Linked DNA regions of Pelodiscus sinensis. The protein of the gene in region 4 interacts with the protein of the main gene of each other region in a biochemical or structural test. Links are inferred from orthologs where the notes say so. Each region holds a gene or a part of one and is shown on either strand. Other genes may lie near its edges.

The links.
Region 1: the proteins of UBE2D3 (region 4) and SMURF2 form a complex in vitro, tested with the Homo sapiens proteins (12 studies listed by BioGRID). The link is inferred for Pelodiscus sinensis from reciprocal best matches to the Homo sapiens genes UBE2D3 and SMURF2.
Region 2: the proteins of UBE2D3 (region 4) and RFFL form a complex in vitro, tested with the Homo sapiens proteins (5 studies listed by BioGRID). The link is inferred for Pelodiscus sinensis from reciprocal best matches to the Homo sapiens genes UBE2D3 and RFFL.
Region 3: the proteins of UBE2D3 (region 4) and UBA6 form a complex in vitro, tested with the Homo sapiens proteins (2 studies listed by BioGRID, with this or other methods). The link is inferred for Pelodiscus sinensis from reciprocal best matches to the Homo sapiens genes UBE2D3 and UBA6.

Annotation. Positions count from the first base shown.
Region 1 is NC_134730.1:20,923,969-20,931,056, forward strand, and holds the start of SMURF2 (E3 ubiquitin-protein ligase SMURF2), read right to left. Parts: upstream 3,024-7,088; 5' UTR 2,704-3,023; coding exon 2,652-2,703; intron 1-2,651. UniProt on the Homo sapiens protein: E3 ubiquitin-protein ligase which accepts ubiquitin from an E2 ubiquitin-conjugating enzyme in the form of a thioester and then directly transfers the ubiquitin to targeted substrates.
Region 2 is NC_134731.1:17,191,285-17,198,189, reverse strand, and holds the start of RFFL (E3 ubiquitin-protein ligase rififylin), read right to left. Parts: upstream 3,019-6,905; 5' UTR 3,004-3,018; coding exon 2,865-3,003; intron 1-2,864.
Region 3 is NC_134715.1:4,190,200-4,197,753, forward strand, and holds the start of UBA6 (ubiquitin-like modifier-activating enzyme 6), read right to left. Parts: upstream 3,001-7,554; 5' UTR 2,842-3,000; intron 1,782-2,841; exon of another isoform or gene 1,753-1,781; intron 1,329-1,752; exon of another isoform or gene 1,308-1,328; 5' UTR 1,106-1,307; intron 113-1,105; 5' UTR 2-112; intron 1-1. UniProt on the Homo sapiens protein: Activates ubiquitin by first adenylating its C-terminal glycine residue with ATP, and thereafter linking this residue to the side chain of a cysteine residue in E1, yielding a ubiquitin-E1 thioester and free AMP.
Region 4 is NC_134715.1:25,177,034-25,183,977, forward strand, and holds the start of UBE2D3 (ubiquitin-conjugating enzyme E2 D3), read right to left. Parts: upstream 3,006-6,944; 5' UTR 2,502-3,005; coding exon 2,478-2,501; intron 1-2,477. UniProt on the Homo sapiens protein: Accepts ubiquitin from the E1 complex and catalyzes its covalent attachment to other proteins. In vitro catalyzes 'Lys-11'-, as well as 'Lys-48'-linked polyubiquitination.

The DNA.
Region 1 (7,088 bases), on a different chromosome or scaffold from region 4:
ATATTCTAGCTCCACAGAATGGAGGAGGGGGCACAACAGGGCTTGGGATGGAGGGAGTTTGCTGGCTGCTTTTGAGAGTGGTGCAGGGCCAGGACAAAGGTGAGCCTGCCTTAGCCTCACTGCACTACCACCCAGGAGCCACCTGAGGTAAGCAGTGTCCAGCTAGAGCTAGCTCTGAGCCCCTACTCCAGGTCATGAACCCTTCCTGCACCCCAAGCCCTTGCTCTAGCCCTGAGCCCCTGGATCCAAACTCCCTTACAGAGTCTGTACCCCCACTCCCTGCCCTAGGCTCAGCTCAGAGCCCTTCTCACACGCCAAATCCTTTAGCCCAGGACCAGAGCAGGTGCCCCATCTCTGCCACTGCCTGATGAAAAGGAAGGAGAATGGGAGAGAGAGGGGGGAGTGATCAGGGGCAGGACATTGGAGAAGGGGCACAAAGAAGGGGGGCTATCTGGATTTGAGGTAGATCCTGGATTGCACTTAAATTCAAAAAAGTGATCTCATGCTTAAAAAGGTTGGAGACCAGTGGTCTAGAGTTTTCCATTAGGCCAAGGCAGGATTATAGAGCATTTTTTTAAACTCACCTTAGTTTCTCTGAGCTCAGTCAAAAAGCAAGGAGCCACAGACACAAAAGTGCAGAACAGTATTTTTAAACTAACACTGTCCCACATATCAGTCCAGCTCCACTCATTTCCAAAGTTTATTTCTAAGGAGTTCACCACCTGGGCAGTATCCTGGCCCTGCATAAAAACCCCTTTTACAAGATTAATCTAAATAAGTTCCAAAATAGAATGTAAGCAATTATAAGAAAAAAATCTACATGATCTAGAAAAAAGCCATTTTTCTCTACTTCGAATTTTAAAAAATTAAAATGCGGTAACTTTAATTTTTTTATTAGAAGTTAACTGAAAATACTGCACATACCATTAAAATTACATAATTTAAAAAATGCAGCAACTATTTTTAGACTTTTTTGAAAGAACTAATAGCTGTGCCTTACAAAATAAGTTAACTAGGTTCAATAAGTTGTTGGAAGACAAACTATTTTTAATACTTTTCTTAAATCTTGTATTTTCATATACTGAAGTCACAATTTAGAGTACAAAATGTGTTTTCTCAATTTGCTGTTTCCTCGCAAGTCTTCAGTGATTATTTTTCAAAGGCAGACAAGCTTTATTCATATTTATAAGTGTTTCTCCATATTTATCTACTTACATTGCCCTCATCACTACAAAAGGAGCTCATTCCAAGTATTCAGAAACAGATAATGTTTTCCTTCCTTTCCAGAAGACAGACTGAAATAGTTTACTTTTACATTTATGGTGTAAACTAAACATTTTTAAAGGCCATGGGTTTTTTAAGGGCTTTTTTCCTACAGTATGATGGCCTATATCCTATGAATTGTTTACAATCTCAACTGAGGAAACTGGCTTGAAAACAGCAACACAAAAGATCAAAACAAAGGGCCTGATAGTTCGACGATTACACAGAGAAGACGGAGAGGGTGAGAAACAACCTAAGGTACAATGAGTGGTCCTGTGGCACCTTAGTGACTAGCAAAAAAAATATAATATCATCATCTGACAAAGTGGGTCTTACCTACAAAAGCTCATAATACTATACATTTGTTAGCCACAGGACTACTCATTGTTTGTTAAAAAAAAAAAACTTAGAAAGCAACGAATAGTCCTGCAGCACCTTAGAGACTAACAAAAAATGTAGATGGGATCATGTCTTTTATGGACACAATCCACCCATGATCCCATCTACATTTTAGTTAGTCTCTAAGGTGCTGCAGGACTATGTGTTGTTGTTAAGTTTTTTTTCTATTACAGATTAACAGCGACCCCTCTGAAACATTGTTGTTCAAGTAACAACACACACAGCTACTCCTCTGAGACAGCCTAAGGTACCTACCAAAAAGTTACAATGGCCTCCCTAAATACTACAACATATTCAACAACAACAACAGAGAGAGTGGTCCGGCATTTTACAGAGAAATACATCTAATGAGCTCAGGTTTAATCGAGATTCTGATTGAGGGAGGCGAGGGGCTCCACTACCTCCACCTCACCCCACACACACTGCCCAGGGCTTCACCTCTCCTCCTAACCCAGGCGTGTTTACTACCCTAGAGTAAACAATCCTATCGTGGCCACAGCAACGTGTCCCACGGGCGACGGGCAAAACCGTGGCCCACGGACCCCCCTGCTGAGAGGAGGGAGGCAGGGAGTTTACTTCTTGTTTCCCCTGAGGCCTCTCCGTGCCCCAGGTTCAATCTCAAAGACACATGGAGGGAGCTCGGTCCCACCCACCCCTCCAGCTGGACTTGCGGGGCTTAGACAACAGAGAAAGGGGCTTCCCCGGGGTCTCTCCTTTCACACCCCCACTCCCTTCGCAGCCACACTCGCCCGCTCTGCCCCCCCCCCAGCTCCCTCACCCCAAATCTTCACCCCCCCCCCACCTTAGCCACGACGGCCCCCGCCCAATTCGACCCCTACCCTCCTGAACCACCGACCCCCTTCTCCCCACCAGGCTCCCCCTCAGCCGCCTCCCCCCTGCCCGTCTCCTCACAAAGCCCGGCGCTTGGCCCCCCCAGCCGCCCGCTCTCCGCCACCCTCTCCCGCCTTCCGTCCCCGGCCCCTCCTCACCTGTCAGTCGCAGCTTGACGGGCCCGTTCCTCCGGGCCCCCTGGTTGGACATGTCTCCGGCCGCGGCTGGGGCTCGGCGCTGCCTTCGCCCGGGCTGCCCCTGCCGCTGGGGCCGGGTAGGAAGCGGGGAGGCGCTAATGGAGTCGGGCTGGGCGCTCAGGGCAGCGGCGGCGGCGGCCGCCGGACGAAGAGAAGCCCGGATGTGCCCAGCGTCGCCATAAGCGGGGCCAGCGCCGAGGAGGAGGCGCCGCCGCCGCCTTCCCCCGCCCCCTGCCCGGGGCCCTGGCGGCGAGCACAACAAAGCCCGGGACAGCGCGTTACCGCGGCGGCAGCCGCCTCCCTTCCTCCGGGACGGAGCCTGCTCGCCGCTTCGCGCCCAGTGGGGGGTGGGGGCCCCCGTCCCAGTCCCCGCTGCTCTCCTGCCCCTGCGCTCCTCCTCAGGACCTCACTGCCCCGGGGGAAGGGCTGCGTGTCCCGACTGTGTCCCCCCCCCCCCACTGGGATGCCCCCAGGGCCTCACTGCCCCGGGGGGGGGAGGCGGTGTCTGTCCCCTAAGAGCCCCCCCCCGGGAATGCCTCCATGTCCTCACTGCCCCTGGGGGAAGGGGTGCCTATCCCCATTGTGTGCCCCCCCCACTGGGATGCCCCCAGGGCCTCACTGCCCCGGGGGGGGGGGAGGCGGTGTCTGTCCCCTAAGTGCCCCCCCGAATGCCTCCATGTCCTCACTGCCCTGGGGGGAAGGGGTGCCTATCCCCATTGTGTGCCCCCCACTGGGATGCCCCCAGGGCCTCACTGCCCCTGGGGGAAAGGTGGTGTCTGTCCCCTAAGAGCCCCCCCCCCCGGGAATGCCTCCATGTCCTCACTACCCCGGCGGGGGAAAGCCGGGGTCTGTCCCCTAAGTCCCCCCCCCCCAGAATGCCTCCATGTCCTCACTGCCCCAGCAGGAAGGCGATGTCTGTCCCCTAAGTGCCCCCACCCCGAATGCCTCCATGTCCTCACTGCCCCGGGGGGGAAGGGGTGCCTATCCCCATTGTGTGTCCCCCACTGGAATGCCCCCAGGGCCTCACTGCCACTGAGGGATAGGGGATGTCTGTCCCCACTGTGTGCCCCCTCCTCCTGGAATGCCCTCATGTCCTCACTGCCCCTGGGGGAAGGGGGTGCCCCCACTTCAAGGGAGTGTCTGTCCATTACTGCCTCCCCCCCCACTGGGATGCCCCCAGGCCCTCACCAGTGTTCCCTCTAATTTTTTCCACCCCTGAGCTGAGTGAATTTTCTGATGTGTGCCACTCAATACATCGTCTTCATATTGGTGCACATCACAAAATTAATGTGGTGGGAGTGGAGTCAAGGGGTTCTGAGTGCAGGAGGGACCACTGGGCTGGGGCAGATGATTGGGGGTGCAAGGGTTCTAGCTGGGGATACAGACTCTGGGGTAAGGCTGGGGGTGTTGGGTTTGGGATGCAGGAGGGGAAAAGACTAGGAGTTGGTGTGCAGGAGGGAGTATAGGTTCTGGCTTGGGCGTGCAGGCTTTGGGATGGGCCAGGGAATGAGGAGTTTAGGGTGAAGGAGGGGGACAACAGTTTTGGGGAAGAGCTGAGAGTTGGTGTGCAGGAGGGGGTGCAGGCTCTGGCCTGGGGGTGTGGGCTGTGGGATGGGTCTGGGGGTGAGTGGTTTGGGGTGCAGGAGAGTGCTCAGGATTGAGGGGAGTCAAGGGGGGACCAAGGTTTAGGGCTCAAGCTTACCTGGGCTGCTCCTGCTGGGAACAATGAGGAGTGGACCCTTTCCCCTGCTCACCTCAGTGCTGGTGTCAGCGGTGAGGGTCCCCAAATGCTGACCTGAGAGACTCGTATCTCATAATGGGCCAAATAGCTTGGGAAAATATAGGCATAAATCATTTTATTGTGAGTCAAGGGGTAGAAAAAAGAGTAAGCAATTCTTACTGTGAGGTGAGATACAGCTTTATATACTGAAAAATCAAAGATTCAAAAGTAAAACAACTTTATGGGATACAAGGTTGGAGCTAGATCGTGATACCCGTTTCACCTAAATTTATATCCTGTTTTGCTAGTAGGATGAGACTACTGATGGAAGGTACTTTTCTAACCCATCTTACAACTCAGAAAATCCACTATTTATGTGTGATTGAGTTGCAATAGAAAAGTCAGGGATATTCCTACACCCCTCTGAAATTCAAAAGACTGCTATAGCTACATCCCAATTCTATTTAATGGTGTAATGCTTCTGTCTTTAGGCTCCCAAAGAATTCCAGGCCTTTCAACACACTCAACAGCAGGGGCACTCTAAAGCAGGGAGAGGATTTAAGGGAGGGTATCTCAATGAACAGCCGAAGAGGCAACTTTCAAAAGTGTCCTAAATTAATGAGACAATCCTGGGACCAACATGACTATAACTACATTGCATACCCTAAATTAAGGAGAACATTTAAGTAGCTAAGAATGAGCAAGGTACTCCCACTTAAAATTATGATTTGGAGATGCCATTGTAACATTTTCATGAAGACTGAGATAGTGAGGAAACTACTGGCTTTGTAAGCAGACCGCTACTTATATCTGATACTGTTTCTGATTCTCACCCAACTAGTTTCATTATATAGGTCCTATGTAGCTCAGGCACTTAGCACTGTACAACCTGTAAAACTAGAATACTAATGAAAACATAATATTCAGTACTAAAAATCCAGACAAAACTATATCCTCAATACTCAATATATACTTTTCCTGATAAGTTGTATTGCTTTGTACACCTATACAAACTGAATGACCTCTCCATTATCTGGCTCAATGCAAGAGATTCCACTCCAACATTTCTGCTACAACTACATCCTATATAATAGCTGGTTTAATTAGAAGACTACATTTTTGCCTATGAGGTGAATGTTTTGGCTTTTTATTTTTTAATTTAATCAATTTAAGAATTTTATTTTTCCTTAGGGTTTCATTCAGTACACACTTATCATAGTTCTGGGTTGTACTGGACCTAAAGAAACCACCCAACTTTGGAGTCCCATATTGTTCTTCCATTTGAGGAGGACAGATGGCAGAACTCCCAGTCCAGGGTATAAGAAAATGAGATCAGAAATTGAATCTAGACAGACTTCCACATGGTAGTGCAGAATACTGAGCCACTGGTTTATCCATTATGTTAAACTAGTCTAATGTTTTTAGTATTTCATTTCCTTTTGTTTATTTTTAAAAGTAGTATTGTAAGAATATGTAGGGCAGAGAAGGAAGATCATACTGGCATAACATCAATGTCTGACGTACCTATATTTAAAATAAAACCTTCAATTGATAATATGCTGTATAGCACTATGCAGAAGCTACATAAATGTGTATTAGCAAATACATTTGTCATATTTCTTCAGGGCAAAGATTGTTTCTTTCATGTTTGGACAATGCCTTAGACATTGTACCACTATAATATTCATAATCTATTTAAATTCACATAGGATCTTGCTATCTGCAAAGTTTAATTTCAGAATCAAGTGTTCATTAAAAACAAACAAAAACTCTATCTGCTTTATTTATGCACTAGTTTGTAACTGTTTTTGCCAAAACCTACAAGATTTTGCTAGAGAATGTCCCTTGCCCCTCCTTTCAACACAGAATTCATGATTTGCAATTCTCACTGTAAATTATTCTTGAACATGGCTTTTTGATATATCTGGGAATTGTGCAAGATCTTTTGGAAGAGCTTTTTAAGCCCTAGAGAGGCTATCAGAAGAATTATACATTGTACCTGGATATTGTATAAGATACTGCTATTGACATAATTCCACTGGGTCATTCTTACCTCAATAAAACCATTATGAGTCTTCCCTTTACACTGTTTGGAATGAGTGGTTCTTTGTGTTATTAAAATTTTTATGAAAGGTGCACATATTCATATTACAGCTGCTTTTCAACATTAAATAACTAAATATTTTTCTGAAACCAAAGAACATGGGCAGAGTTATTGTTTGAGAAACTCATTCTTAAAGAAATATAAAAGCTTTTTAATACTGGTCAAAGAATCTGAAAACACCAAAAATATTTTTATCCCTCTTTTCAGACAATCGGTGGTCTTGTTTTTCACAGGTGCTGGGCATCTCTGATCTAAAGCCCATTGAAGTCAATTAGCTTCTTTTCATTTATTTCTATGGGTTTTGGATCAAGCCACTAGTAGTTAGCTTCAAAACACACTGAAATTCTGCTTCCCTAGGATCTCACACAGGCTGAAGAGCCAACAGTAGGAAAGGAGTCTAAGGCCTAGTTTCACAAAGGTACTTGGGGCATCTAAATACCAGATTTGGCTCCACTGTGATCTGCAAAACCCACATATAACTCTTAAGAAACCTAAACTTACTCAGCACCTACTTTTCCAGGATAAAAGTTCCTTAGGCACCTACTTTTCTGCCTCTAGCTATGTGCTGTTCTAC
Region 2 (6,905 bases), on a different chromosome or scaffold from region 4:
AAGACTGAAGAAATGAAGCCGCTGAATAGTGGGAAAGCATTCAACAACCTTCACAAGAGATGAAAACTATATCCACATTAAGCCCAGTTCCCAGGAGGCCTTATGGAGGCCACCTACAGGAGCAGCATATACAAAGGTTTGCCCTGATTTTTTTTTAATACAACTGCTCCCTGAGTTGCGAACAGTCGAGTTTTGACCGTTCGCACTTATGACCAAAGCTTCCATGGAGCAGTCTTAAAGGCGGTCTCTGAGTTACAAACGCGACCTGCGCTTATGAACAGCGCAGTCGCTATGTAACTCAATGGGGTCCGAGTTATGAACAGATTGAGTTACGGCCAAGAGTTTGGTCCGTAACTCAGGGAGAGGCTGTAGTCCATTAACTCACTCAAACTTTGCACCAGTTTGGATGCTGCAAAGAAGGAATGACAAACCAGAAGAAACAAATCCTCACAGAATCACCTTCTGACCCCCGACCAGGATTGTTCTATCTACTTCCCAAGATCCATAAACCTGGGCACCCCGGACGTCCCATCATCTCTGGTATTGGCACGCTCACTACTGGTCTATCCAGCTATGTAGACACTCTTCTCAAACCCTTCGTAACCAATACCCCCAGCTATCTCCGAGACACTACTGACTTCCTAAGGAAACTACAAAACATCGATAACCTCCCCAATAATACCATCCTTGCCACCATGGATGTAGAAGCTCTATATACCAACATCCCACATGAAGACGGATTACAAGCAATTAGAAACACTATCCCAGAGGACACTACTGCCAACCTGATAGCAGACCTATGTAACTTTGTTCTCACCCACAATTATTTCCGGTTTGAGAACAACTTATACCTCCAGATCAGCGGCACAGCCATGGGTACACGCATGGCCCCACAGTATGCTAACATCTTTATGGCTGACCTAGAACAACGTTTCCTCAACTCCCGTACCCTTTCACCCCTCCTCTACCTACGGTACATCGATGACATCTTTATGATCTGGACACATGGCCAAGAAACACTGGAGATATTCCACAGAGATTTCAACAACCTACACCCCACCATCAACCTCAGCCTGGACCATTCTACACGAGAGATCCACTTCCTGGACACCACCGTACAAATCAACAATGGAAAATTAGACACCACTCTCTACAGAAAACCCACTGACTCATACAGTTACCTACATGCATCCAGCTCCCATCCAGAACACACCACACGATCCATCGTCTATAGCCAAGCCCTTCGATACAACCGCATCTGCTCTAACCCCACTGACAGAGACCAGAAGCTTCAGGATCTCTACCAAGCATTTATAAATCTCAACTACCCACCCAGAGAAACAAAAAAGCAAATTGAAAGAGCCAGATGAATACCTAGAAACCATCTACTTCAAGACAGACCCAAGAAAACCAACAATAGAACACCACTTGTCATCACCTACAATCCCCAACTTAAACCTGTCCAACACATTATCAATAAACTACAGCCTATATTGGAACAGGATACCATACTCAAAGAGGCTCTGGGAGACAGACCCATAGTCTCCTATAGACAACCACCTAACCTCAAGATGATTCTTACCAACCACCACAGGACATACCACACTAATACCAACCCTGGTACCTTCCCTTGCAACAAACCCCGTTGCCAGCTTTGTCCACATATTCATTCTGCTGATACCATTATTGGACCTAACCAAGTGAGTTATAAGATCAAGAACACATATTCCTGCGCATCCAGAAATATAATCTACGCTATCATGTGCCGAAAGTGTCCGTCTGCTATGTACATTGGACAAACATCTCAGACACTTCGCCAAAGGATTAATGCCCACAAAACAGATATCAGACAAGATCACAAAGAGAAAACAGTTTCTTGCCACTTTAACCAGAAAGGACACTCTCTAAATGACTTAGCCACCTGCATTCTGCTACAAAGACCTTTTACATCTGCACTTGAAAGGGAATCCTCTGAACTGTCATTCATGTTAAAATTCGACACTTACCAACAAGGACTTAACAAGTCTTTGAACTTTCTCACCCATTACCAAGACAGTTTCCCCAATTATCACCTGTAATACCATTAACTCACAAACATCCCACTCTCCCTACCTTTAATATCAGCAATTCACAGACACTTACCTTCCTTCCTCCCCCTTCCCACCCCCCCCCCCCCCCGCATCCCCCTTCTGTTCTGCCATGTGATTTGTCCTTTTCATATTTGTTCATTTTTTTTAAATTGTATCCTTTGGTATATATGGTTGTGACTACTTTCTTCCACTATTTGATCTGAGGAAGTGGGTCTGGCCCACGAAAGCTCATCATCTAATAAACCATCTTGTTAGTCTTTAAAGTGCTACATTGTCCTGCATTTTGCTTCAGAAGAAACAAAGACTAAGATCATTATTATGAAGCCTACATTTTGTTCTGGAATTATCAGAATGCTGACAAGACGACTCAGATGTGATTTCAGGAGATTCCTAAACTTGCTTAGCTGCTATAGAAACTACTCTTGCAAACTGAGCAAAAATTAATTACTGTAGGTCTGTAGGACCTGCAAGGTCCTTAAACTGATTTCCAGATTTTAGAGAAATGAATAAGAACACTCCAGACTAAATGACAGCCATTAATATAACAAATAGTGACAATTGGCTATAGATTTCCATCAATTGTAGTAATATTATAAGAAAGCACAAGAGTTTTAATTTCGCTGCAAATTTACCATAAGAAAAATATAATTTTCTCCAATAAGGGAGATGCACAAAATACACATAAAAGGGTCCTCCCCCCCCAAATACTGCATTTCGATCTCTATTTCATTAAATGTTCATAATTAATTCCTGAAAAATATTTTTATAAATTACCATATGAGAGTCCATATATAAACAATACCAATCTTGCAGTTTTAATACGGCCCTGCAACATAAAATGAAGACACTCCGTTGCATGAATAAGAGATTGTTGAACACTGCAGATCTCTAAATGTTGTTTGATCTTGACCATGTCAAGAAAATCCTAGAAAGAGATGTACAGAATGAGGGCAAACCTTAACTCTGCTGTCTTTAGTTTTAATTGATCTTCAGTAAGGTCATTTGGGGGATTTATGTTTTTAAAGAAAAAACTCAAGGTTATAAAACATGTATTAATCAAAACTGAAAAACATGTAAGTATGCTTTTAGTTTAAACAGGATAGAAAAGAGCAATGCTTTCCTAGCCTACTGGGTAAATTAAACACTAGGAAACTTCCAGGGTCCTCTAAAAATAACCCGACAGGGAGTTACAAAACTCCTACACCAATCCTGACCAGAAGGTACAGCTGCGCAGATGTTTGCAAAATGGTAAGTTCACTGGCCCTAGTAGTGTTGCCAGGTGTCCAGTTTTGAACCGGACAGTCTGGTATTTGAGAGTTCTATCCAGGGAAAAAATTAAGAAAATACCGGACACATAAAATGTCCAGTATTTTCTAATTAGGTAAGTTTTATTATTATTATTATTAGGGATATCAGTATGTAGTTGCGAACTGCCTGGCTGGTAGACACGCTCATGCTGCGTGAGTGTGACTACTAGCCAGGCAGTATGCAACTAAGCTGGGGGGGGAAGGCGGGGGGGGGGAGGGGAGGGGAGGACAGGGGCAGGTTGGAATCCCCGGACCGGGATGGAATCCCCAGGGCTGGACTCGCTCGTGCTTCGCCAGGACTGTGCACAGGACAGGAAGCATCCCGGGATCTGCAAGCGCCTGGGTCAGTCCCGCTCCCCACAGGCTGATTCTCTCCCCCCACTCCCTGCCCCCAGCCAGCCCCTCCTCCTAACTCCCTCCCGGACTGCCCCACTTCCCGTTAGCTGGTCACGCCCCCCCACCCCCCACACACACACGATCTCCCCTGGCCAGCCCCACTGCCCCCGACTCCCTCCCGGCCAGACCTGCTTCCCATCAGCCGGTTCTCCTCCCTCTCCTCCTCCTGATCTCCCCTGGCCAGCTCCGCTCCCCCTGATCCCCTCCCAGCCAGACCTGCTTCCCACTGTCCGGTCTCCCCCCGCCAGCCCTGCTTCCTGCGAGCTGGTCCCCCCCCCCCCCCCCCCCACACATATCCTCTTGGCCAGCCCCACTCTCCTCCCAGCCGGTGTCCTCCCCCACATCTAAGATCAAGTGTGTCCAGTATTTTTTTTCTGAAGCCACCTGGTAACCCTAGGCCCTAGTAGTAGCAAGCTAAGAGTACAATAAGCAGCAAGAAACATTCTGGCTTTTTAAAGAAACAGACAGGCTGCCCTCAAAGAAGGCAAGACGTTTCTCTTCCCTGCAAAGGAGATCAGAGGAGGAAAGTATTAGAAAAAATGCAGTATTTGAAAATTATCTTCAGGAACCTACCTGTCAAACTCGAAAGGGAGAAGAGAGGAGACTATTTTTAAACAACTTCTGAAACTCCAGCAGGCCAGATGTAAACCCCACCAAATAACACAGACACTCTCAGCTGATTCTTATGCAATTCTGGATGCCGCACTTCAGGAAAAATATGAATAAAATGGAAAAAGCCCAGAGGAGAACAACAAAAATGATAAAAAGTTTAGAAAATGTGACCTATGAGAAAAGGTTAAAAACACTGGGCACATTGAGTCTTGAGAAAAGATTACTGAAGACTGGTAACAATCTCCAAATATACTAAGGGCCATTATAAAAAGGACAGTGATCACCTGTTCGCTATGCCCACTGAAAGCAGGACTAAAAGTAAGAGGCTTAATCAGCAGCAAAGGAAATGTAGGTTAAAGAGTGGAAACATTTCTCACTCTAAGGGCAGTTAAGCTCAGTAATAAGCCTCCAAGGGAGGTCATGGAATCTTCACGATGGAGGTCACAGAGGTTTTTAAGAACTGGTTGGACAAACGCCTGCGAGAGATGGTCTAGAATTACTTGGTTTTGCTTCAGCATGGGAGGTTGGCTTTGATGACCGTCTCAGGTTCCTTTTAGGCCAGCCTTTCTATGATTCTGTGATGCTCCCATAGAATTCAAAGTAGTTCTGAATTCTGAATCTACCAAGATGGAAACCTTAACACTGGAATAAATTACCCAGGGAGTTTGTGAAATCTCCATCTGTGGAGATATTTAAGAGTGGGTTAGATAAATGTCTGTCAGGGATGGTCTAGACAGTATTGGGTCCTGCTATGAGGGTAGGGAACAAGACTCAATGACCTCTCGAGGTCCCTTCCAGTCCTAGTATTCTATGATTTAACAAAGCAGACCAATACCCTTACAATGTGCAGAAAACTCAAACTTACACTCAACTAGCACATGTATCCCAGTGCTGCTCAGGTTCTTAACTGTTGTAATGTTTTGGATTTGTTGGGGTTTTTTAATTAAAAGGAAAAATGAACATACAATATTTACATGATTGATTACAAGGGGATGGGAGAGGGCTCAGGGGATGGGGTGAAGGAGTCAGGACAGGGGACTAGGAGGGCTCTGGGCATGGGTGAGGGGGTGAAGGAGTCACGGCAGGTGACGGGAAGGATAGAGGCAGGTGATGGGAAGGATAGAGGGTTGGGTATATGTGGGGCTCAGAGCAAGGAGTAGGGTTAAGGAGTTAGGGCAGGGGGCTAGGAGGTGTGGGGGATTAAGGCTAGAGGTGAATGGTACTGGAGTGAGGGCCAAGGCTGGGGAGCCTCAGGGTTCAAGTGGGGTGGCTCAGGACAGGGAGTGAAGGTGCAGAAGTCAGGGCAGGGGCTTGGATGGGGGTCTGGAGTCAGGGAAGAGGGTTCAGTGCCTGGGGGAGCTCATGGCAGGGGAACGAAGATGGGGGGGACTCAGAGCATGGGGTGGGGGTGCAGGAGTGAGGGCATGCGTTGAGGGGTGCAGGCAATGATTTGGGGCAGAGTCTTGTCCCCAGCTGGCCAGTCTCTCATTAGTGCAGCTGCCCCCAGTGGTCACTCTGCAGTATAGTTCTCCGCTGCAGGTTCGCTGCCCTCAGTGGCCACTCAGAGTATCATATCTCCTCTCTCTGCCCCTCCCTTTTCAAATTATGAAAAATAGTCCCACTCCTAAACTTAAAAAACAAAAACTGGTCTGGTAGCACTACCAGTTTTTGTTTTGTAAATTTATCCTATACAGACTAACTCAGCTACCCCCTGGAGCTTGTACCATTCCTGGCACTTCCCATTTTCCTGGCACAACCAAACCCTAACCTTGCTTTACGTTAGCGTAAGAGGAAATTTGCATACCAAATTTGGTGGTCCTAGCTCTTACCATTTAGAAGAAGTTCTTGAACAAAGATTCACAGACAGAAGCACAGACAGATGCACTCTAAAATATAGAGAGAGATTAACTTAAGCTAGCAGAGTGGATATTTCAGCCGCAAGTTGTGGAATATAGGTTCAGTAGCATGTAACCTCTTGATAGCTGCCCAAGAAATGCTTTTACAGTGCCTTTGCCTGCCAAGACATCCCAAGTCATTTTGCAAAGAATATTAATTTCCACACAAATGTTTAGAAGCTAAGGAAAATTAATGAACCTTCCATTTTGATTTATAAATTGAAACAGTAGCAGCAGCTCTGGGCAGCAAGTTCAAGACTAGAAAAAAGTCTTGACTGGTGAAGTCAGTTGGTGCACAGTCTTATCACTCACTATGAAATTAACCTGTTTTTCCAATGGGCAGAATGATGGTTTTCTCTGTAAACTTTACTATTCCAGACTATATTCAGCCACGAAACAGAGCAAGCCCCTAGTTTGAAGTTTTCATTAATACACTAACAAAAAATACTCCCAATGGGGTACGCTCTCCAATACACACACAGATAGCTACAGATTCCTAAGATTATAAACTTAATCTTCTGGGTAAATTAGTTTTATGCTCAATATCTCTGCATATACAACTTAAACCACTCAGAACTTAGACAAAGAGTTATGAAAAAGGTGGA
Region 3 (7,554 bases), about 21 Mb from region 4:
CCCTGTTCCATGTAAATACAGTCAGGGCACTCGTGGCAATAGTGCTGACGAACCTCAACAACGATTAATGGAATTTCCCCTCAATTCTCTTGTGGGATAGTATTTTATGACCCTGTTTTATAGATGGGAAATTGAAACACAAGATCGATTAAGTGACTTGTTCAGGGACACACTGAAACTGAAGCAGAGCAGAAACTGGGCCCTGATCTCTTCCCTATCCATCCGGGGACAAAACCCTATCCTTCCTCGTGGCTAATAATTAAGCAGTACCGATGCTTTTTTGAGAGAAGCGTTGCTGGCTTTTGCAATCCTGAAAGTTGTCAGTGACACAATCATAGAGCACTTACTATTATTTATACAGAGCAATATCTGCACTCAGCAATTCTCACGAATGCTCTGCCTTGGATACGTTTCCACCTCAAACTCCCAATCTCCTGCAACCCAAATTGCACCCCAAGTCCCTCAATTCTAGCCCCAGCCTCCCCATCCCTGTTCCAGCCCCACCTCATGGCCCTCACCCCAACACTCGGCCCCAATCCTGAGTGCCCGCCCCACGCTAAACCCCTCATCCCCAAATCCGCTGGGTCACAGGCATCAACTTTCTTCAACTGGGTCATCTGAAAAGAAGTTTGTAAACCACTGATCTAGACTAGACCTACTAGAGGTACAGCCAGCCTGATAAAAACACCCGCAGCTCGTCTATCCCAGTGCTCCCACCTTTGCTAGCCTCAGTGCTATGCACTAACAATGGTACCTTTGCACAAAAACTACAGTCCAGACTCAGCTCATTTGCCTTAACCCATTCTAGCTCACTTTCAGGACGGATGGCAATTTAGGCTCTGTGTCTACTAACGTAATGGGTGTCAGTCAGCTCCAGTTACAGAATTTTTGCTGTCCTACATACCTGAAATTAAGCTCACAATCTCACACACCACCACGGTTTTAAAAATTCCCGCAAGAATCCACTTTAACGTCAAGACAGAGACAATTATGCTGTCCCTTGCGATGCGAACATATGTACTACAAATTAGACTGAACTCCTAATAGGAGGAAACGGTAGGAAAAATGGTATGTGAGATTAGTGGTATGAAGCTGTGGCACTTACTCAAACGGGACAGCACACAAATATTCTGGTATTTGGTTAGTTCAGATATACTGGGAAGTCAACTGTATCTGTTTAAGCCACTTCTGGATGCTGGTAAGAGTTCAAAAGGGCTTCACTGCAGCAAGAAATCGAAGGCGAGGGAGAACGAAGGGAATAGTGGTTTGTTTGGTTGACAATGAAACACCTCAGAGATGACCGATGACTGTAAAGGAAATGAACACATCTGTAAGGACAGTAAAACACTTGGTAAGATTTCTGCTACCAACGATGGTGTGGGATTTAAGGGTACTGGCGTTGGGTTATAGAGGGAGAGAATACTGGGAAACAAAGAGTACCACAGTTGCTGTGAGATTTTATATGGAAAATAAATGGCCCCACATGTCCAATATGAGAACTAAACAGTGTTTTATACAATCACATCCCTCCCTATATCTCCATTCACACATATCCTTCCATCCACCAGCACCCATTCATCCTTCTTCCTTAGCTCACCCCTCCACGATCCTCTCAACCCACCAGAAATCACCCCACACGCCAATCCCAACATTCACACTCCCCAAGCCTCTCTCACAATCTAACCACAAGTCCCTTCCCCAACACACCCCTTCGTACACTCTCCAGGATCTCCATCCCACACCCCCACCCACCTGGTGGGATGGTGTCCAGCATGTCAGGTCTGGGAATGGAAACACAGCTCTCAGAGCAAACTCCTCAACCCACCCCATGGGCCTCCCCTGCACACCCCAACCCACCCCACCCAACCCCCCTGCACACACACCCCCAGCCCACCCCACTGACCCCCCCTGCACACACAACCCAGCCCCGACCCCCCCTGCACACACACCCCCAGCCCCCCCGACCCCCCCGCACGCACACCCCCAGCCCACCCCCTGCACACACACCCCCAGCCCACCCCACTGACCCCTCCTGCACACACACCCCCAGCCCCCCCGGCCCCCCCCCGCACGCACACCCCCAGCCCACCCCCCCGCACACACACCCCCAGCCCCCCCGACCCCCCCGCACGCACACCCCCAGCCCCCCCCGACCCCCTCCGCACGCACACCCCCAGCCCCCCCGACCCCCTCCGCACGCACACCCCCAGCCCACCCCACTGACCCCCCCTGCACGCACACCCCCAGCCCCCCCGACCCCCCTGCACACACACCCCCAGCCCCCCGACCCCCCCCGCACGCACACCCCCAGCCCACCCCACTGACCCCCCCGCACGCACACCCCCAGCCCCCCCGACCCCCCCGCACGCACACCCCCAGCCCCCCGACCCCCCCGCACGCACGCCCCCAGCCCCCCCGACCCCCCCCGCACGCACGCCCCCAGCCCCCCGACCCCCCCCCCGCACGCACGCCCCCAGCCCCCCGACCCCCCCCCGCACGCACGCCCCCAGCCCCCCGACCCCCCCCCCGCACGCACGCCCCCAGCCCCCCGACCCCCCCCGCACGCACGCCCCCAGCCCCCCGACCCCCCCCCGCACGCACGCCCCCAGCCCCCCCGACCCCCCCCGCACGCACACCCCCAGCCCCCCGACCCCCCCCCCGCACGCACACCCCCAGCCCCCCGACCCCCCCGCACGCACACCCCCAGCCCCCTGGACACCCCCCCCAACCCACCCCACTGACCCCCCTGGACACACAACCCAGCCCCCCCCTGCAGACGCCCCCTACCGCCCCCCCGCACACCCTCCCTACAGCCCCCTCCCCCGCCCGGCAGGCTCTCACCGCGCGGCGGGCTCGGCGGCGGGGCCAGGCCTGGGCGCCGGCAGCGGGAGGGCGAAGCGGCAGCCGGGCCGGGGCGGAGCCAGCGCGTCCCCGCCTGCGCCACGCAGCGCCCCGCCCCTCACAGGCCCCGCCCCTCCGCACACAGCCCCGCGCGCGCCACGCAGCGCCCCGCCCCTCACAGGCCCCGCCCCTCCGCACACAGCCCCGCGCACCGCGCCCCGCCCCTCACAGGCCCCGCCCCTCCGCACACAGCCCCGCGCGCAGCGCCCCGCCCCTCACAGGCCCCGCCCCTCCGCACACAGCCCCGCCTGCGCCACGCTCGGGCAGACGGCCTTATTCCGGAGCAGGGCCAGTGTAGACAGCCCAGGGGTCTTTTCCAGAAAAAAGCCCCCATCGCGAAAATGGCCATCGCGGCTCTTTTCCGGAAAAGCAGCCTGCCAATGTAGACGCTCCTTTTCCGGAAAAACTGAAAACGGAATAGTATTGCGTTTTAAGCAGTTCCGGAAATTCATGCCAGTGTAGACACAGCCAGCGGGAAGAGCAGGCTTCTTGCGCAAGAGCGACGCTCTTTTTTAACAGGCATAAGCCCTCTGGCGCAGGAGCTCTTGCACAAGAGGGCAGTGTGGACGCTCAGCAGGGATTTCTTGCGCAAGAAAGCCCTATGGCTGAAATGGCCATCGGAGCATTCTTGTGCAAAAGAGCATCCACACTGCCATGGGCGTTCTTGCACAAATGCACAGCTCGCACATGGCAGTGTGGATGTTTTCTTGCGCAAGACTTCTTGCACAAGAACCCTTGCGCAAGAAGCCGCCAGCGTAGCCCTAGTCTTTATCACATCTTCTGGCAAGGAGTTCCACTGGTTGTGCGTTGAATGAAGAAAAACTTTCTTATGTTCAAATATGCTACATCTCTCCACTAAAATGTCCCCATAGAGACCGCTCTCCATGCTCAGGCTGCCCAGCCCCCTACATCCTCCACAAACTCACTCTTATTCTGATCTTACGCAATTGACCCCAGTCTCTTAACAATCTCTCTTCAGACAGAAGAGTGATAAAGATGCAGCCGTGTTAGTCTGGTCTAGCTGAAACAAAAGACAGGACTATGCAGCACTTTAAAGATTAACAACCATCTTGTTAGTCTTTAAAGTGCTGCATAGTCCTGTCTTTTGTCTCTTCACACACACACACACGCACCATCTGCCCCTACATCAGGTGCAGGCAATAAAATGGTGGCAGTTCACCATAGTTAGTCCCTGGTGGGCTCCTGCCACTATATTTACTTGCGCCTCTGCAGGTACAAGGGATCACAGCTTCCAATGGCCAGGAACAGCAATTCCCCCGTACTTGCAGGCTCAGGTAAATATGGAAGTGTAGGGGCCTGCGGCGACTAACCCTGGCAGATCAGATCTGGCCTACGGGCTGGTATCTGCCTACCCCTGCAACTCTATCCAGAGACAACTGTATTCTTTCCACCATCTTTCTTCTCCATGTGTCCACCAGAGCCCCCTCCCATCTCCCTTGAATTTAAGTTGTTTTTTTAGTTTTTTAACTGTGCAACCTTCTTGTTGCATTAATCAAGATTTTGTATTCAATTATGTACCTGAAATACTGGACCAGTATGTATACACGCAAGGTGAAACAAATCCTTATTTTCAAGAATATCAGATTCGGTTAAAATTGCTGAAATACATGGCACAATTTCTTTTTGATCTTTCGCTGTTTGTAGCTGTATCAACCTCTGTGTCTGTTCTCACATCCATGGAATAAACAGAGACAGAAGAAAACAAGCAGTACAAAAGAGAGTGTCCACTGTAGGAGTAGGTCTGCATGTAAAAGACATCTCCAAGAAGCAATAGCCACGTTGACTGGCAAAGCTCTCCCACCATCATTGCATGGTCTGCACAGGGAGTTAGAGTGCTGTCTACACGGCGATTCGATTGATTTTCACACCCCTGGGTGGCATAGTTATACTGAAATAGGTCTGTAGTGTAAACCTCACCTATGCTGTACAACATGAGACCAATAGAATTGTGTTGATTTATAGGGGTGTTCAAAAGAAGTCTCTTACACGGCTAAACTGGGATTGCATGGTAAATACACAATGTATGTGCGGTTTGTCTTCACCTGCATTAGGACTATTTAGCAACAAAAATGATGAAAATATGAGTTATGAGGGAAGACTGGAAGAATTGGACTCTTTTAAGTTTGGAAAAGGGAAGACATGATAGCAGCTTTCAAGTCTCTGAAACAGTGTTACTAGGAGGAGGGGGAAAAATTGTTCTCCTTGGCCTCTATTGATAGGACAAGAAGCAATGGGCTTAAATTGCAGCAAGAGAGGTTTAGGTTGGACATCAGGAAAAGCTCTGCCAGGGTTGTTAAACACTGGAATAAATTGCCCAGGGAGGTTGTGGAATCTCCATCACTGGAGATATTTAAGAGCAGGTTAGACAGACACCGGTCGGATAGGGATGGAAACGACTAGTCAACTATCCGATATTAATGGATGGTCGACTAGTGACTCAACTAGTCGCTTTCCCCCCACTTACTGCCTCTATCTGCACCGTCGCTGTGGTGGGGAGCAGGGACGCAGGGGGGAACCAGTGGCACTTCTGCCTTTGAAATATGGCAGGGGCACGTTGCGACATTCAAAAACAGACGCGCCACAGGAGCAGGGGGCAAGTACAGGACTCAAGCAGTCTCCCACTGACCCTGTGCTCTCTACTTTTGAAATGGACAAGAGTGGGGGTGCTTGTACATTTCAAAAGCAGGGCGCGCGGGGCCAAAATGGGAATGCTTGAGTCCTCCGCTGGCCCCATGCTCCCCACACACTTCCACCTTCGAAATGTAGCAAGAACTGGCAGGTGCCCTTATTGACTAATCAAATAGTCGATACAAATTGCATCAACTATTCAATTAGTTGATTAATTTAAATTTAAAATTCTTACTATCAGGGATGATCGAGATCAGCGGAGTGCAGCCTGTGGGTTGCAACCCCCATAGGGGCCGGCTGCCATTTTTTCCCCAGCTCGGCATACATGCGGTCGGGGCAAGGGGAGCAGCAAGTTAGTAGAGTGGTATTTAAAGGGGCCACACTTTTTTTTTTTTTAAACTCAAATAAATTTTCCTGGGGGTCGCGCCGGGAAAGGTTGCACACCACTGATCTAGATGGTGGTTGGTCCTGCCATGAGGATGACCTCTTGAGGTCCCTTCCAGTTCTCGTGTTCTATGAGTCTAGTTTTCAAAAATGTCTCTTTTGCTGGTGGCAGTTTACCTCCAGTGCTGTTAACAACACTGGGAGCACTAATGTAGACAAGCTATTGTTATTGTTTTCCGCTCTGATTCAGCAGAGTATCTAAGCCTGTGGAGCGTTAATCATCTTTTGGATTGTATGGGACCTGCTCAGGGAAAGGCTCATCAAAACAGTGCTTAAAGTGGTATTGTCAGACATCAGCGTAGAGAACAAAAAAGTATTAGTGGGTTGCAGGACTTGCAGATTTCTCACTTCCCCTCATATTATGGAATTTGAGCTCCCTTTTTAGTGACTGGTTATAGGAATTGCTTTGCCATATCAGACATGTGATCGCTCTAGTCTGTTGTTTTGTGTCTAACTGAACAGATGCTTTCCTGGAAAGTGCAAAATGATGTGTAGCAAATAATTAAAACATAATTGCTATAGAAGTTCTTCCTAAACCCCATCAATTAGCAGCTGCCCTATGCCCCGAAGCATGACCGCTTATTTGCAGATGAGTTAAAGTATTAAGTTGTCTAATGATTGAAATCGTTCTTCCCTTTGTGACCTCTTTCCAGTGCAAGAAATACACCCTGCTCCAGTTGGGTATTATAAATGCAGGGATCCTGTTCTTATTCTTTGGCCCTTTGTGTAGCCTGGCATCAGTTGGTAAATTAAGAAAGGCCATTGAATGACCCTGCTTGCCCAGGTGTAAATGGTTGTGCAAGGTGTAAGGCACTGGAGAATCAGGCCCAGAAGGCCAATGTAATAAAGAGGCTGCATCTGAGATGATCACCCGTTATAGGGCCACTGAACTCCCATGAACTAGTATTGCACATGTCCAGCTAAGGAATATGTTGCATAAAGTGTGAAGTTACGGCCTAGATGTAAGCCTTTAAAGATTCCTATGACTGAAATGCAAGGCTGCAATTTAGAGGGCATGCCGGCAGGTATAGTGAGCACTTTTAAAAACAGAATAATGTAGAGTCTAAGTCCTGTGACAGGCTCCATGCAGAGGCATGATTGCCCAGCTCTTCCTGTGGGGAGAGTCTGGCTCATGGCTCTGTTGAACAAGGTGGAACTGCACCATCAGCTCACCCAGGCAGGGGTCTGAAAACCCAGGTTGCTGCAAGACTCAGCAAGGCCAAAACACGGTCACGAGAGTGAGCAGGGCCGTGCTGTGGTCTCCAATATACACAATAGCCTGCCTTCCAGTAGGGGCCCAGCCGGCTCCCTTCCCCGTCAGTAGGACCCTCGTATGGCTCTTTTGCTGCAGCCCCAGGACTCCCTGCTGCCCTCCCTGTTAGGGTCACTGCGGCCTTCTTCTCTAGCTGATTGCCTGGAAGGTGGTTGCATCCTCTGTTCCACGTTCCCTGAAAAAGGGCCACTGGGGAAAGCAGGCCTCGCAAGGCCAGGCAAAGACGTACGCGATCTTCACTGCATGCACCACGAGTGGCACCGAGGACTGTAACTGCTCTACTCACA
Region 4 (6,944 bases):
AAATGTTTTCATGTATACTAAAATGCAACTTCAAAATGGTTAATGAGGTGTCAAATCAAACAAAGGAAGCAAGGATTGAAAGAAAATGCCCCTGTTCGTGATATCTACTGAAAACCAACTGGCCGTGGCAGGTAATATTTCTACAGACTTGCAAGTTCAACTGAATCAGGTATGTGCAATTACAATGCTCTGAGGTCCTGGACTTGCATTTTTCAGCCCTGACTAGTGACAAGAACATATTATAAGAAAACATCAAGGTCTGAACTGTTGCACCATCAAAGCTAGAAACTGATATTTGGATTATTTTAACATTTGAAAGCTGGGGATCTGTGCTTTTCAGTGACAATACAGCCCTCTCTAGCTATAGTGATTGGCGGGACAAATCTTAAATTAATTTGATTGCAATCTCTGTCCTGATGCTTTGATTTTGGCATCAATTTTCCTGAGAGCCACTAGAACTGGAAAGCATTTCAGAATCCCAGATTACAGATAACACATTAATCTAACTATAACCAACTAAGGTGGGAACTACTAAAAAGCAAGTCACAGCTGTAAACAGTACCAATTTGGAGACATATCTTGCCATCTGATTTGGCTAAACTAGTCAGAAGTGGTTACATTTTCAACCACAAACCTTGGACAAGGAAGATGTGAGCCCCTGGACATATTTTTGTTATTAGTCATGTTTATTACAACAGTGCCTAACAATTATCAAGAACAACAATCAAGAATAAAGACCCATTTTGCTAGGCACTATAGATTGTATGGACTGTCTCCTATTATTTTATAATCTAAATAGACTTCTTGATACCAAATTATTTTTAAATATGTTCTAAGGCTCCAGTTAAAAAGAGACTCTAAATCTGAGATTTTAATGATTTATACTTCAAAAATTCCTCAGACCTACACAAGTCTGTGTTAAGGATGCATCTCATCTGCATGAGTAGTTGGTGACAAAGCATATCAGGGAGTCTCCCAACTGCTTCTTAATGTAAGTGATACCATCCACAGTTACAGTGAAAACAAGTTTGGTGGCAGGTTTAAAACACTTTCAAAATAGTTTCTGGTAAAAGTATAATTTTAATTAAAATCTACACATTCTCCTACTTAAAACTTAACAGTTTTGAATTTAAGAGTTTTGTTATTCTTGAGTGTGAACAGTAAATTAAGACACAGCAACAATGTTATATTCCTTTTAGTAAAAATATGTCCAGTTTCTGTAATATCTAAGAAAAAATATGACAAACCCCAACAACTATATTCAATTTGACATATTCATTGTATCATTTCAAGGCACTATGAGTTTCTGGTTGGTGACAAGCTGAAAAGTGACAAGGAGAAAATCATCTATCCAGTCTCAAAATATTTACAATGCCATAATGCTTTTAAGTACACATCAACAGCAACTCAGAGCTTAAGTAAGCTATTTAGCTGTAATCATGCTTGTCATTAGGACCCCAACTGTTGGGAAGCTTGGATGCTGCACTAAACACTAAATTATTGTTCACAGGAACGTCACAACTGAAATTGAGATTTATAAGTTACCTAACACCCACCTTCTGCCACTAACCTTGCTCTCTGGAAGGTTAAACTTCCATCACCTCAACATTTTTTTTGAGTTAGCTGTAAAGTTACTCCACCCTACAGGATTGTGCAAGAACGAAATGCTCAAAACATCACACAACAACGTCCTGCGCCCAAAGAAAAGGATGAGGTAAAAAGCCATCCCTCTACGACATCATGAAAGCCGAGGGTTTCTAGGGGAAGTGTAAACGTAGAGGAATAGGAGCAGCTGGTGTTCAGAGAGAGTCGACGGGAACGTGGACGTGTGTGTGTGTCATGTTATTGCAGAAAGCAAGAGACCCGGAAAGAGCCTGAACTAGGCAAACCCGCCGCCATCTTACAATGCGGGAAAGAAGTTAGACGCCAGGGAAGAGAAACCAATTTGGCCGGGAGGCGGATTGCCCCCTCGGCAGGAGCGAGCCCAGCCCGGGCTGTCGCTGCGATGTAAATAAAGCCACAGCACAGTCGGGCCATCGCTAAGAGCGGTAACGCAAGAGATGGAGGCGATTAGCCCTGCGGCTCGCAATGACACTGACATTTAGCGGCCCTGCCCCGGCCCTCCGGACACCCCACCACGTCCCCGCGGGGCCATGGGCTGCCGGCGGGTTCACCGCGACCTTCTCGGGGTCTGCGACAAAGAGCGCGCCGGGGCGACATCGCTCCCCCTCCCCAACTCGCCCCGCGCAGGCAGCCCGGGCCCCGGAAGGAGATCAGCCGCCCCCCGCCCGCTAGGCCCCCTGCTCCTCGCCAGAGACCGGGGCGGAGGGAGTCACTCGCCCCGGCCGGAGACCGCCCGCACTCCCCAGCCGAAGCCGGGGCGCCGCGCACACCGCAGGCGACAGGGCCTGTCCCCGCGGTGCGGGACGCAGAACCCCGAGCCCCAGCGCCGCCTCCCCGGCCCGCCCCTCGCTCACCTTGTTGATGCGTTTGAGCGCCATTGTGTGTGTGTTGCCGCCGCCGCCCGCCGGGCCTGTCTCTGCGCCGCGGTGACTCCGGGCTCCGCTCGCGTTGACGGGGAGGGGGGGCAGTTGCGTCTCTCCTTCCTCCGGAAACAGCCAGGGGCGCCCGCTCGCAGGGAGCGCAGCCGCCCACAGCCTCCGCCCGACGGGCGGGTCCGGCCCCTTCTCCGGAGATCGCCTGGCTGCCACCGCCGCCGGCCCGCCTCGGAGAGGACAGACGATGCGCTGAGCCTCCCCCACCACGGGAGAAACCGAGCTCAGCCCCCGCGCACTCCCACCACCGGTGGCGAGGCCGAGAAAGAAAGGAGGGGCGAGCAGGCACCGCCCCCCGCTCCCGGGGCGGGCCACTAAGGAACCTCGCCCAGAGCCCCCCCTTCCCTCTCACTGGAGCGGGGAGGGACGCGCTAACCGCCGCTGCCGCCTGCGAATCCGCGCACGCGCTACTGAAACTAGTGGGGGGGGGGGGGGTAAGACAGCCCCAGGCTCGTGCAAGGCCGGTGCACGCACCTTCTATAGTTGCGGGTGGGGTGTGAAGAAGAGGGAAGGCCAGAGGGGTGACTCTCGCGAGAGTAAGACTGCAGGCGTCCCAGATCTGGGGGCGGAGACCGAACGCCGCTTCTCCAATCAGAAGGGCGTGCTCCCCCTCTTCGCGGAGGCTGTGACACAGGGGCTTCCGGCGTACGAGACCGGGCTAATTTCCCCCATCTCCCTACGCTTGAGTGGGCGGTTTGTCGGTTATGGAGAAATCCCCAGAGCGAAAGCTCTTGCGGGGCCTTCGAGTCTCTCGTTGTACCCGGCTCGTCGTGGTCACTCGCCCGTCCCCGCCTCTGGGGGGGGAGGAGGGGAGTTCGTCTGTGCGTGTACACAAAATGGCCGTCGCGACCGGATCTACGTTCGTGAATCGCTAAGGCGCAGTACGGCGCTGGTATCCCTCCGCGCAGCCGCTGCGAAGGGGAAACAGATCCCAGTAAGGCCAGAGGGGGCGAGCGAGTGGCAGGGATGCCCCTCCCCTTCCTGTTTGTCTCGCGGGCCCTCGGGTGTGTTTCCAAGTCCGTGTAGACACAGCGGAGCACGTCGAGGTCGGGCTCGTCCTCCGCTGGCTTCACTCGTCACAGCCCTGCGGTTACTGCTGCTTCGCTCCGGCCGGGCTGCGGGGACACCGCTCGCAGGAGGAGGGCCCGTGCCCCACGCTGCAGCCTGGTCCTGTCCCCCGCCTTCTTCCCGCTCGCTCTCTCCCACCCCCACTGTAACCGGGCTGGGGTGGGACAAGGCCGCAGGCCGGGGACGAGGGATGTGAGAGCCAGGTGGAGAGTCTGAGGCGAAGCGGGTCGGAGCGCTGGAAGGCCCCAGGCTGTGGGGTGGGCGGGTGAGGGGGAGGAATGGATTCAGGTTGTAGGGTGGTGCAGGCCGGGCTGGAATGTGGGAGTGTAGGCTCTCGGGTGGGGGGGGGGCTGGGGAAGAGGAGTTTGAGGTGCAGGATGGGATGGGGCTAAAGTATTCAGAGGGCCAGGAGAGTTTCCAAGCTGGGGCAGGCAGAGTGGGTTGTGACGCCAAGGGCAGTGCATGTGGGAGGGAGCTTAAACGTGGGGCATAGAGTGTAGGAGATGGTTTGGAGTAACAGCCCCAGGTTGTGCTTACCTCAGGTGGCTTCTGGGAAGTAGCTAGTATGTCCCTCTGGCTAGATGGTGTTTTGGCCATGCAGCTCTATGTACCACCTCTATCCACATGCACCGCCCCTGCTGTTTCCACTGGCCAGAGTTCCCAGCTCATGGAGTTGCAGAGCTGGTGCTGGAGGCAGTGCATGGAACTCCATGGATGTCCCTATGCCTAACAGCCAGAAGGATATGCTGGCCAGCTGCACCACAGGGAGTTGGGTAGGGAGCTTGCCAGTTCTATGCCAAATGGATTTTTAACTACTGACCAGACTGTCATCACCAGAGTCCCTTTTCAAGTGGGTGTTCTGTTTGAAATCCAGACATCGATAGGTAACGCTGCTTACTATGACAGCAGTTCTTTGGCACCTGAACTTGCATTGCCTTAGTTCTTCAATACCCTCAATTCCCACTCCCTTTGGGCCATGTCACCCTCTCCCCAGTCCTGCCACTGAACTCTGCAATTAAAGAGTTAAGGTGTCATTATTGCACTTTAATTCACTCCTGAACAAAAACAGGGATGGACAAATTGGAGAATGTCCAGAAAAAAGCAACAACTGTGAATAAAGGTCTAAAAACATATAGGAGGGAAGATTGGGGAGAAATAAGGGTTTGTTTAGTCTGGGAAAGAGAAGATTGAAAGGGGACATAATAGTTTTCAAGTACAGAAGAGGTTGTTACAAAGAGGAATGAGAAAAAACGTTCTTAACCTCTGAACTTTGTTTCTTGTCCTATGTACTTAAATTGCAGCAAAGGCAGCTTGGGTAACAATTTGTCAGGGTAATTGAACATGGGAATAAATTGCCTAGGGAGGTTTTGGAATCTCCACCATTGAAGATTTTTAAGAGCAGGTTAGACAAATACCTATTAGGGATGGTATTAGAGAATATTTAGTCCTGCAATGAGTGCAGGGGTCCTAACTAGATCTCTCTGGAGCTCTTCCCAGTCTACCATTCTGTGGTGAGAATTGACACATCACAGGACTATTATTTCAGGCTGCGTGCAGACAGGCAGACAATTTTTAAGGGCTACCTTTGTTAATCATGAGGACTAGAAACCTTACTCTTAAAAAAACAGTTTAGATCTTGGACAATTTGATTCTGCCCAGGCATTCACAAATGTTTCAAATGGGCCAGGTGTTTGACAGTTCTGCACTGCAGTGAATTCTGCCTTTGAGTGAATATTAAATCCTGATGTCTCCAAAACACAAGCTCTGTTTTGTACTATGTGATCACAATTTATCTTGGGCTCCTGTATGATCTTCAGAGACTGAGGTCAGAAGAAAGTCAAGAATCTGGAGGGTAGGTGTATGGTGCACACTACTAGGCTCCTCTGAAAATGAAACACGAGACCCCTTTAGCGTGACCAGAGTGCCAATACCAGAGGCTTTGTCTTATATAGGCAATTATGCCTCCCTCCAAAAACGTGTCCCCATTTTTTGTACTTGCTATCTGGTTACCTTAGAGCTCTTGCACCAAGAGCAGAGAGGATGGTGGGAATGGAATGAGAAGCTGTCTGTAGGAAGGTAGAGGAGATGCTGAGATTTGGCTTATTTATAAGTAAGGATGTTAAGAAGCAGGTAATTGACTAATTGTGTAGTTCATACAATTTGTATCGACTACATGATTAGTCGATAAGGGGAGGTTGGAGTTCTGGAGCAACTCCGGCTGTGGCTCCGCAGTTTAAATATAGTGGGAGCCGGGCTGCCATCCAGTCAAAGCACTGCTATGGTTCAGTCAGCACGCTCCACAAATTCTAGGTATACAAGAGGCAGCAGCCCAGGCGAGAGGACAGGGAAGGCTGCCACAAAGTAGTCCCTGTCTGCAGTGGCCCAGGCTGACTAAGAACATAGGCTGCTCCAGCAGCAGCCCCTGTCTCTGGACAAGGGCTGCTGGAGCCAGCACAAGCTGGGACTGAGCAAGTTCTGGTCAGTCCCAGCTCAGGCTGGGTCTGGGACTGCTGTGGTTCTGTATTTTAAATGTAGCAAGAGCTTAACTGGCTCTTACTACATTGAAAATGCGGAGCCACAGCAGAAATAGGTCCTGGACCAGATCTGAGCTGGGACTGAGCTGGGCTCACTTAGGTCCTGGACATGGTGTGAGCCAGGACTAACTCCCATTATAGCTCTGCAGTTTAAGTGTAGGAGCCGGACTGCCTGCATGCCCGACTCCTACTACATTTAAACTACAGCGCTACAGTGGGGGTAGCTTCTGGACCCAGTGTGAGCTGGGACTGAGTGCCTTCCCTTATTGACTAATCATGCAATTGATACAAATTGTATTGAGTACACGATTAGCCAGTTACCGGCGTCTTAACATTCTTATCCCTTACTTCCACTCATCCCAACTTCCTTTGCTATGCCAGTTCTTGGGATATGGAAGTATGGAACACAGGTATTTTGTTCAAACCTGGTGGCTACGTCTAGACTGGCATGATTTTCCGCAAATGCTTTTAACGGAAAAGTTTTCTGTTAAAAGCATTTGCGGAAAAGCATCTGTGCCAATCTAGACGCGCTTTTGTGCAAAAAAGCCCCGATCACGCCATTTTCGCAATCAGGGCTTTTTTGCGCAAAACAAATCTGAGCTGTCTGCACTGGCCCTTTTGCGCAAAAGGACTTTTGCCCGAACGGGAGCAGCATAGTATTTCCGCAAGAAGCACTGATTTCAGACAGTAGGAAGTCAGTGTTCTTGCGGAAATTCAAGCGGCCAGTCTAGACACAGCAGCTGTGTCTACACTGGGCCACTTATTCCGGAAAATCAGCTGCTTTTCC